3 linked regions of the Bombyx mori genome follow. The protein of the gene in region 1 purifies or fractionates together with the protein of each later gene. This does not show direct contact. Links are inferred from orthologs where the notes say so. Each region holds a gene or a part of one and is shown in the gene's direction. Other genes may lie near its edges.

Region 1 (3,996 bases):
CTGCTAAGTCCTTGTTGTAAGAAAAAAATGAAAATACCCTTCTCGGGAAGAAATATCGGGCGAGTTTGAATAGCTAATACAAGATTTTCGTAATGACTGTTCCAGTAAACACATAACATAGCTCCCTTCAATAAAATCAGGCTTCCTGGTGGAAGTTAATAACTCGTAGAGTGCTAGTAAAGCTTTTCTGCAGAACGCTACTTCTCCTGTGTTTGTTCTTGTTAAGTTGAGTCATTTATTTAAACTAGTACACTATTATGATTGTATTTTATACTTCTTTACAAATTTCGCCAAGACTACACTTTAAAAAATATTAACAAAGACAAACAATATTTAATCTATTCTCAATTTGACAACAAAAAGAACAAAAGTTTAACAATAAATAATATGCATGCGTGTGTGCGTCAAATACATGGTATGTAGTGTGTGTAATGTTTTCTTTATTGATTTAATGTATCTTTTATGCATTATTTTAAAAAAGATTAGCATTGTGCACTTCTTCTCTATATTCTCTATAAGTGTGGAAAACTTCATACTCCTCCTTCCGCGCAATTTTCGTAAAAAGGGATACACAGTTTTTGCTTCACGTATTAATATATAGATCTCGAAGATAGAGATTTTTTTTCAAAAAACTTAAAATATTGAGCACACTGAAAAAAGTACTAAATTGGGATAATGATTCAGTTTTTAAAGATGAAAGATTATGATGAGTTGGAACCTACTCTTGCCGATAAGGGCGTTGTGTCAACTCAACTTTAAAAAACTCAGACTAAGGACAATGTACCTAAATAGATAATTATGTACTCCTATTTTGGACTTTTTGGCGGGAACGCGAGTAGCAAAGTTGTGAGAATAGTTTTATTTTGTTAATTTAATGTTTCTTCATGTTTAAACATGTACTAATGGATGTTTATGAACTGTTTAGTATCTGGGAAAGTGCATAAATTTAGGTAAATAAAACAAAGTCACCGGACGTTGATCCTCGGGATCTTCCAAACAGTCCACTGAAATAGTCTTAATAAGTCTTAGTTTTAATTTAATTCCAATTAATTAATGTTTGAAATTAATCAACCTAATTTCATTTCATTTTCATATCGTCTTCATAAAATAGAATTTACAAAAGATTAGGCTGTATGTTTCAATAGCTTTGCCCTTCTGGTTGTAAAAAACAAACGAATACTACTGTCAATGTCATTCTCACATGTTTTCTCAATGAAGTAGGAAACCTATATAGGTATATATACTATATAGGTCTATGTGTTTTCTATATTTTTCTTGTTATTAAAATAAATAAAGATCATCTTTGAATTTTAGAAAATCAGAAACCCAATTAGCAATCAAGTTTCATTGTACTACTTCAAGATATATTTAAACATTTGAACGAATTAAATATGGTGACTGATATGAAGGATGTACAGGATTTTAAATTAAAACCTATGAAATGTGAATTCAACTTCCTGAGCAAATCTGATGGATCAGCTATTTTATCACAAGGTAAAAACAGTTTTATGCCCTATAATCTAGCTGTGGTCATTTTACCGAAACTCTTAATTTAGGTACAACATGTTAAATAATAATTTAGTATTTTTACAAAAAATAAGTAGAACAGTAAGATTTTACGAACATTCAAAGTTCATCGTCTTAAAAAGTACAACAATGTTAATTAAAACTTCTTGGACAGAAAATCGTTCATCAAAGCTTGTAAATATTTTTACAGGGGATACTGTATCATTGGTGAGCGTAAATGGACCTTTAGATATAAAGATGACCAGTCAACGAATAGATAAGTCAACTCTTGAGGTTTTGTTCAGTAATAAGAATGGGAAACCGAGCGTGGAAAACAGGTAATGTATTAGAGCTATATGGCTATTGGAAATTAATTTAATAACAATATTTGCTTGTCAGTGGTCATTTGTATAATAATAGATGAAATCCACCGTTCGGTTTTGGAATGAACTACCCTCTGTGGTGTTTCCCAAGCGTTATGACATGTCCTTCTTCAAACGAGGCTTCTTTGAGAGTACATAATGGCATGTAGCTGCTTGGCTTTGCCCCTAACATTGACGTTGGCGTGAGCGAATGTAACCACTTACCATTAGGAGGGTCATATGTCTACAAAAAACATAAATTTGGTTGTCATTAATGAATGTATTGTTTAAACATTACTAGATACAACAGAGTTCAATATGGCAGATACACAACTTATTGATATTCTTGCTTGATCTTCTAAGTGAGTCACTTTTCTGACATGGTAGATTCAGCAAAGCACTGCGACTCTGTTAGGGTAGACATTAACAAAGTGATTGAGGTTGATCCCCATAAGTCTTCCACCAGTCTCTGTTGATGCTTCATGAAAGGTTTCTCAAAGAAACATCTGTAAGTGATGTTAAATTGTGGAATATTTTCAAGAAATAGGTGTTACAGTCGATTGTTGAATTGTAATCATATTACATGTTATTACAGATACAAAGAGAATATAGTGAAACAGACATGTGAAGCAGCAATACTTGGTTCTCTGTATCCTAGAACTGGTATAAATGTTACTATACAGGAACTAGAAGATTATGGTGGTGTGAGTACTGATTTGTATTTAACGAGGGTGAATTGGAATTGTTCCTAAAAATGAAGATTGGTGGTATTGGAAGTACTGGTGATTAATGATCTATCTGCTTCTAGCATGGAGCAGTTATGATCTGCCTATTGCTTTTAAGTGGGGGTAGTTCTTCACTCTCAAGCTTTCTACACATGCTTCAGGCTTGTAAACAAAAATAATGAAAAAAAAAAACGAAAATTGTTTTAATTGATATAGATAATGTTTTCTGTTAATTTCACAGATCATTTGATGAGCTCAACCGATGTAAAGTGGTTACCAGATTTCAATATGCTACATATTTAATAGTGGCCAAATTATTTTTATTATTAAATGTCAATGTATTATTAAATTGTGAATTTATTATTAACTAGCTGACCCGGCAGACTTCGTAGTGCCTCAATCGATAAATAAAAGACCTAAACTTTTGTATAAAATAAACTTAAAACAAACAAAAGGAATCCGTCCGACGCGGGACACAACAAAGGAAAAACAAAATTGTTATTTTTATTTAGTTCCGAGCATTTTCATATTTATTTACCTTTCAAACCTTCTCTGGACTTCCACGAATCATTCAAGACCAAAATTAGCCAAATCGGTCCAGCCGTTATCGAGCTTTAGCGAGACTAACGAACAGCAATTCATTTATATATGTACTAGCTTTTGCCCGCGACTTCGTCCGCGTGGAATAGTTCACGAATAATACAGGGTGGCCCATAAGTCCTTTGATATGAAAAAAAAATTATTAAAATAAAACTAATTACATTATGAATTAAATTTTTATTTACATAAAAAGCTTAAAAAACGGGAATTATTTTTTGAAAATAACATCTCCTAAATGTAATCCGTTGCGAACACGGCACTCTTGCAAACGACGTCTAAAATTGTCGATGACTGCGCGGCACGTCACTGCTGAAATGCTTGTCATTTCTCTGCGGATGTTTTCTTTTAGGGCCTCAATCGACCGCGGGTTTGTGTCGTATACTTTAGCCTTAAGGTAGCCCCACAAAAAAAAATCCATCGGGGTCAGATCTCGACTACGTGGAGGCCAGGAAATGTCTCCTCTCTTAGAGATAACTTTGCCAGGAAAAAGTTGACGGATAACGGGCATAGCAGTGTTAGAGGTGTGAGAAGTGGCCCCATCCTGTTGAAACCACGTCCTGGCATGTAAATCTTTCTTCAAAATCCGTTGTAACGATGTCCTGGATACGTTTAATGCTCTGGCGCGCTTACGAGTTGACTGTGTCGGATTTTCGCGAATAGACTGTGTCACTGTGTCTATGTTTTGTTCCGTACGTGACGTCCTTGGGCGACCCAACCGCGGTTTATCTAACGTCGAACCGGTCTCCTCGAACTTAGCAACCCAGTTCTTAATCGTTTGAAGAGTTGGAGTGTCGTCAAAGTTG
Region 2 (4,248 bases), on another chromosome or scaffold:
ATACATATTTAAATTTTTAGATACATTAAATTAACAAAATAAAAATATTCACACTACTTTCCATCTCACGTTTCCATCGAAAGGTCCAAATAATTAATGACTGTGTAATAAAACGCCAGCACCATTTAGATATTGTGGAATTACTAAAAATCAACAATACAGGTGGGATAGTATTTTTACTTCATATATGTACAATTAATGATTGAAAAACCGACGTTTAGTTTTGAAACAACGAGCTAAGTTAACGTATCACGTGCTTTTGATGTTTAATTTGCAAGAGATGGGTGATGCTATATTGTGGAATTACTAAAAATCAACAATACAGGTGGGATAGTATTTTTACTTGATATATGTACAATTAATGATTGAAAAACCGACGTTTAGTTTTGAAACAACGAGCTGAGTTAACGTATCACGTGCTTTTAATGTTTAATTTGCAAGAGATGGGTGATGCTAATCTTTACTGAAACAATAGAGAAACGCAACTCTGTTAAGCACTGTTAAGCAGTATTTAGCATTTGAAGCATTTTAAATATTTTCACATTCATAATGGAAAAAAAATTGAGAGAAAGGATTACTGGTGTCCTGGTGGCATTTCCAGTTTCACAAGCGAGCACCGGCTCAGCCAGGAGCGACGGTAATTGCTAACAGCCTCCTGAGGGCCTCCGGAGAAAACTAACAACTCAAAGGCAACTGCTTCACGAATGAACCTCATTTACATTAATTTATATTTACTTGGCAATTCATAGATAAAATTATGGAGACCAGAGGATCTGTCGAGATATTATTTTATGACCGCGTCCGGAGAATTGGGATTTCGAGCTTCCTCAAATTGGTGATATTGACATGACTTCAATGCGTTCTTTTTTTTCCTACCTATGCTGGTACCTTAGAACGTTATTCTTGCGTAACTTGACGAGTAAGTGAGCTCGCGGGGCTCTAACCTGTGACGTTGCTAACACGAGCCCTAGCAAGAGCCGTGCTTCGCAGAATCTACCACCAGATCGGAAACGCGACCCACTGTGAAGATTCGGCAAGAAACTCAGTGGGCTGTGTCTGAGGGTTAATTTACTCGTCGAGCCCTTCGTCGCAAGCGACGGGTTCGACGAGAACGGTGACCGGTGCTTGAAGTACCTAAAAGCACCGTTAGTGGATCGGGAGGATCCGAGATGACGTGTTTTGGGCGATGTCGACTGCTTTCCATTCTTTCCGCAGGATCGGGAATGTAGTTACCGGCGGCCACGATGAGAGGGTTCTCGTGTCGTGCCGCTTTATCGAAGTGGTGCATCGACGCCGACTGCAGATACTTACTGATGGACTCTAAGTCCAGGTCGTCATGGAGGTCGACGTTCCTGCCGAACCACGGGGCTCCGACGGCTATCCTGCAAAAACGGGATTGAATGATTTGGAATGATTTTAAGTGAGTGCGGGCCGCGTGAGCGAACACTACACTTGCATAGGTCATGACGGGGCGTATGCAAGTTTTGTAGAGTGTCACCTTATTTCTAAGGAACATTTTACTTCGCCTGCATATCATCGGGTAGAATAATCACACAAAAGATTCCACTGGATTCGGTGTGATATTTTCGCCTTTTCTGTATCGAAAAAGTAAAACGACTAATGTCAAAAAAGCTGCTGTCATTGCTGTCACTAACCCAAAACGAAACGTGTTATTTATTTTGCGAGTTTTTCCGAAAAACATCCATTTATTGCAAATATGGTTTCTGTAACATAGGAACACTTTTGATATTATTAATGAACAATGGCTCGACATCGTAACATTCGGAACAGAAGTTACTCTGATGACTATGATGACGATGATTTTTATGGACATTCAGTGGAAGAGGATAGTTGTTTATCTCCAAGTGATGCGTCGCAATGGATCTACGACCGATCACGAAACCAACAGGTGATATCTAACCTTCTCGATAGACACAGCAATATCCAGGAGGAAGCCGAAGATGAAGTTCAAGATGTTCAAGTACCGGGCCCACAACGAAGAGAGTCTACCGACCTCTGCAGCCTCAAGCTTGACGCGGAAGGTGAAACCAGGCTCATGTCTTGCTTAGATGAACTTCGGAATATTTTAGGTGATACAGTATCGGAAAATACAATGATTCAGAGTGTGCTTAAACATAATTTTGATTACAACAAAGCTTTAGACGATATACTTAATAGTGATAAGAGTAAAAATAAAGATTCATCCACATCTAAACCAGTTAAGCCTGTTATTACTAATACAGTGAAAACCACAACAGCATTAGTAGCTCCTAAAGTTATAGCTACAAGTGTAGATCAGAAGAGTGCTGTAATCAAGGGTTTTAAAGTGGACCAAGAGCCAAAGCCTAATAGTCGCCCTCAGACACCTAGAGGGCAGTCTCCTCACCCAGAAAAAAGCAAGACTGAACAAAATGATGACATGAAAAATTTAAAAGTAAAAGAGAACAAAATTGATGCAAAAAAACAATATGCCAATGAGAGAGGTTCTGACAAAGATCATTTGTACATTGTCGTGATAGGTCATGTTGATGCAGGAAAATCTACATTAATGGGCAGATTATTATGTGAGCTCGGAGAAGTCAGTCAAAAAACTTTGCACAAATATGAACAGGAGAGTAAAAAGATTGGAAAGCAAAGCTTTATGTATGCCTGGGTGCTTGATGAAACAGGAGAGGAAAGAGTCCGAGGAATCACTATGGATATTGGGCGTGCCCAGATTGAAACAAAGACAAAGAGGGTTATAATATTAGATGCACCGGGGCATGCTGATTTTATCCCTAATATGATAACTGGTGCTGGTCAAGCTGATGTTGCTATGTTGGTAGTTGATGCAACTAGGGGAGAGTTTGAATCCGGATTTGATTTCGGTGGTCAAACAAGAGAACATGCATTACTAGTGAGGTCACTTGGTGTAAGTCAGCTGGCTGTTGCCATTAACAAACTGGATACAGCCAACTGGTCTCAAGACAGATTTAATGAAATCACCAATAAACTTAAGGTTTTTTTGAAACAAGCAGGATTCAAAGATACAGATGTCACCTATGTGCCTTGTTCAGGACTCATTGGTGAGAATCTTGTGAAACCAGCAAGCGAACCTGAATTAACTAAATGGTACAAAGGACCCTGTCTTTTAGATGTGATTGACAAATTCAATGTTCCAGAGAGGCCTGTGTCTAAGCCATTACGTATTTCAATCAATGATGTGTTCAAAGGTACCGGTTCTGGATTTTGTGTTTCGGGACGCATTGAAAACGGAGTTCTAAAGAAGGGCGATAAAGTATTGGTTTGTCCAACAAAAGAAATGGCTGAAGTTAGAAGTTTAAGTATAAATGATCTTACTAATAATGTAGCATTTGCTGGAGACCAAGTCACATTGACTTTGTCTGGGGTGGACATGCAGAATGTGTCAGTTGGATACATACTCAGCGATCCTATTGAGCAGGTTTCTGTTACAACACGTTTCGAGGCCCGAATAGTAGTTTTCAATGTTAAAGTACCAATAACAAAAGGCTTTCCGGTGCTTGTTCACTATCAATCATTGGTAGAATCTGCTAATATTGTCAAGCTTAAGGCATTACTCAGCAAAAGTACCGGTGAGCTAATTAAAAAGAAACCTCGTTGCTTAGGAAATAATTCTGTGGCAGTTGTTGAAATTGAGACCAGCAGGCCCATATGCATCGAGAGATATAAAGATGTTAAGGAGCTTGGTCGTGTTATGTTACGCGTCGCAGGTGTCACCATAGCAGCAGGCCTTGTCACTGATATTATCAGCACATGATTGATCTGATAAAGATTATTATAATCTAAATATACAACTAAAAGATTTGTTACTAATTGAAGATGTGATAAATTAAAAATATGGTTATGTTTGGACATTTTAGCTTTGCACGCGTGAATAGTCTACAATAATGTACTGTTTTGAAGTATAATTTATTATTTATAATGTAATGCTAATAAATTGTTTCATGTTACAAATGTTTTTTATTTCTGAATTTGAAAACTATGAGAATATGCTAAACAGAAGATTCTATCGACGTCCTTAAATTGCAGTTTATCTGATTCTCAAATCATTCAGGACACCAGCCAGTATTCTCAATTTTGTGCTACTTTTATTATTAAAATTGACCTAAGCATCCTACAAGTCGTATACGAAATGGACATTCTCATTCTCGCTCACGACTCGGTCGTGCGCGGACGTGCTTTCCGATCCGTGGCCCGCTTGCGAGCTGCGTCTCTGAACTCACAGTT
Region 3 (2,904 bases), on another chromosome or scaffold:
ACACAATAAAAAAAATCGACTCCATTGAATAAGAACAAGATTTCTTTTATTGCCCTTGTAGACAGACGAGCATACGGCCCACCTGATGGTGAGTGGTTACTGTCACCCATGGACTTCAGCAATGCCAGGGGCAGAGGCAAGTCGCTGCTTACTGCTTAATACTCTCCACTCGTTTGAAGAAGGACATGTCATAGCGCTCGGGAAATACCGTGGAGGGGAGCTCATTCCATAGCCGAATGGTACGTGGCAAAAAAGACCTCTGGAAACGCACTGTGGATGACCGCAGTGGCTCCAGGTATTATGGATGAACTCTACTCCGGGCGGTGCGATGGTAAAAACGAGACGTTGGTATCATCTCGAACAATTCCTCAGAGCACTCCCCATGGAACATGCAGTACAAAATACAGAGGGAACCGAAGTCCCTCCGCAGACCCAGAGGTTCCAAACACTTCCTTTAGATCGTTCGGATTATGCGACTAAAATAAAAGGCATTGTAATAGTAGTTCTTACACTGAAAAAGTGGCTATTGAGATTTGACGTATTATACTTGAACCGTTGAGTGAAGTTCTTAGAAAAATTAAATCAAAATCACCTAATACTTCCTATATTTAGTCATAAAAACAACAAAAACAAATTAACAAACTCTTTTACTTACCGAATATACGATATCCCGTCCTTTTTTAACGTTCTTAACGTAATATTTTTACAATTTCTCAACGAATACTTCGGCAATTTTGACGAGCGCACACAGGCCGTTCTCCAATTACAGCACAAGAGCGCATTATGCGGCATAATGCTCAACTAACCTTCAGCATAATTGGAAAACTACCATTAAGTAATGGTTAATTACAGAGCATAATGCGACTCAGTGAAGCACAATGCCGAATTATGCTGAAGCTTAGTTGAGCATTATGCCGCATAATGCGCTCTTGTGCTGTAATTGGAAAACGGCCAGAGACGCGTGCGACGCGAGACTATTTGAAATGACTCATTTTATGTGGACGTTTTTGAGACGCTGAGTTTGTATCTTGGGTTTTTTAATACATCAATGTCTTCAATACAATTCACTCCTATTTATCATTTTTCATAATTTAAAAATAAAATAAATTAAAATAAGACATGACTTAAAAGTTTTAGTTACCAGGTCATAAAATCCCTTAAAAAAATCCTGGCCACACGCAAGTGACGTATGTTCATGCCGTTCTATATTAATTTTTATGTTAGGTTAATTATTATTAAAGAAAAGAAAAAACAGTTTATAATTAAAACGTAAAATGTGCCAAGAACTTAATTGGGACTTTAAATACGGCGAACTCGCCAAAGACAAAGATTTCGTGAACAATGTTGAAAATTTGAAAGAGAATTTAATAGAAGTACAACAAGTACTCGATAAACTCCTTCCGTTGAAGAAAAATTACGACAAAATGTCACTACCAGCTCAGATTGAACTAGATTTGTTTTTTGTATACACTTTAAATTCACTACATTGGATACATTTACGAACAAAAGGCATCGATCCCACAAAACATCCCATCAAAGATGAACTGCTCAGAATAAAAGCTACAATGTTAAAGTGGCAGGAAGTGAAGGATCGCCAGAAAAGACCCACCGTTAACGTTGAAGTGGCGAAACGTTTAGTACGGAATGGTCTGTACGACCATCAGAGGGCTCCCGTGAAACAACTAAACAAACGAATAAAATTTTCAGATAACGAAGAGTAATTCGTTGAAAGAATTAATTATCTGTAATTTTTAACTATTTTGGTATTTTTAAGGAAAATTGTTGAATTTTATATGTTACACCTACATGATTGATTGGTGACTAAGGGCTCTTTTTAAAATTCTCAGTCAGGGTCAGTTAAGATTTACGAAATTAGTAGTTTTGAATCAGTTGTGGTGTCTTAATGAAGATCATGTGATGTTTCTTATTGTTATTCATATTTTCATTGCCTAGATAACTGGAAGAGCTCATGACTCAGTATGGATTTAAATGGTTACTAGAGCTCAAAGCATCCACCTTGCCACATGAGTTCTAAGTCTGTTTTATAGTATAATGTCAAATATCCACAATTGTGTGATACTATTATAGGTACTGTATTAATAAAATAGCGAAAGAGACGATTTCACCTATTCAATAATTTATAGTGGCTGGTTGGTTATGAAAGAAGAGATACACATACATATATCTCTTTTTTCCAAAATTCTTAAAATGCAATGAATTCAATAGGTACCAATGAAGTCTAATACTAAAGGATAAGACGCCTTGTGCATTCAAATTGAGTAGTGTGACTGTGCTGGTATTTGAATCCTAACAATTTTTGTAATGAAATACATACTGAACAAATGTTGATGAGTGATTTGCACTTCCATGGTGAAGGAATAACTTAGTCTAATACAAATCGAAACTATAATTTGTACAATTACTGGTGGTAAGGCATCTTGCAAGCCTCTATGGGTAGCTATTGCCTCTCAGCTGATTTCTCCCATGTAGGGTAGGGCAGCCATTGTTCTGTAAAACCTGAGACTTAGAACTTTTGACTTTGTCAAGGTAGGTAACAGCATTCATGCTTTTGGTGTTTATGGGCTCCAGTGACCACTTAACATCAGTGAGCTCGACCACCCATCTTAGTGATAAAAAAATTACATAAATCACTAGTTAATATAGAGAATCCTAGTTTGAGGTCAAAAAGAGTGAAAAAAAATTCCACTGCTCTTTAAATATATTTTTTAACTTATCTCATGAGACTAATAAGTTTCATGTATGAGGACAGTGAGTGAAGACATTGATCTGTAAAGGCGTCGAAATAATGAAAATTTAAACCATTGCATGAATTCTACTGAGCTGTCTGTTTAACTAGAAATTGAAAAATCAAACTCCAAAGAATTTCATATATTTTTTTCTACA

Evidence for each region.
Region 2: the proteins of exosome complex component RRP46 (region 1) and protein HBS1 purify together in Homo sapiens (affinity purification with mass spectrometry; 3 studies listed by BioGRID and IntAct, with this or other methods). This does not show direct contact. The link is inferred for Bombyx mori from reciprocal best matches to the Homo sapiens genes EXOSC5 and HBS1L.
Region 3: the proteins of exosome complex component RRP46 (region 1) and nuclear nucleic acid-binding protein C1D purify together in Homo sapiens (affinity purification with mass spectrometry; 4 studies listed by BioGRID and IntAct, counting the BioPlex papers as one, with this or other methods). This does not show direct contact. The link is inferred for Bombyx mori from reciprocal best matches to the Homo sapiens genes EXOSC5 and C1D.

What each region holds. Positions count from the first base shown.
Region 1 is NC_085131.1:1,264,168-1,268,163, forward strand, and holds the start of exosome complex component RRP46, read left to right. Parts: upstream 1-1,196; 5' UTR 1,197-1,234; intron 1,235-1,240; exon of another isoform or gene 1,241-1,314; 5' UTR 1,315-1,391; coding exon 1,392-1,494; intron 1,495-1,717; coding exon 1,718-1,844; intron 1,845-2,463; coding exon 2,464-2,572; intron 2,573-3,996. UniProt on the Homo sapiens protein: Non-catalytic component of the RNA exosome complex which has 3'->5' exoribonuclease activity and participates in a multitude of cellular RNA processing and degradation events.
Region 2 is NC_085121.1:12,890,183-12,894,430, forward strand, and holds protein HBS1, read left to right. Parts: upstream 1-1,448; 5' UTR 1,449-1,762; coding exon 1,763-3,778; 3' UTR 3,779-3,975; downstream 3,976-4,248. UniProt on the Homo sapiens protein: GTPase component of the Pelota-HBS1L complex, a complex that recognizes stalled ribosomes and triggers the No-Go Decay (NGD) pathway.
Region 3 is NC_085124.1:3,151,116-3,154,019, forward strand, and holds nuclear nucleic acid-binding protein C1D, read left to right. Parts: upstream 1-1,169; 5' UTR 1,170-1,274; coding exon 1,275-1,721; 3' UTR 1,722-2,404; downstream 2,405-2,904. UniProt on the Homo sapiens protein: Plays a role in the recruitment of the RNA exosome complex to pre-rRNA to mediate the 3'-5' end processing of the 5.8S rRNA; this function may include MPHOSPH6.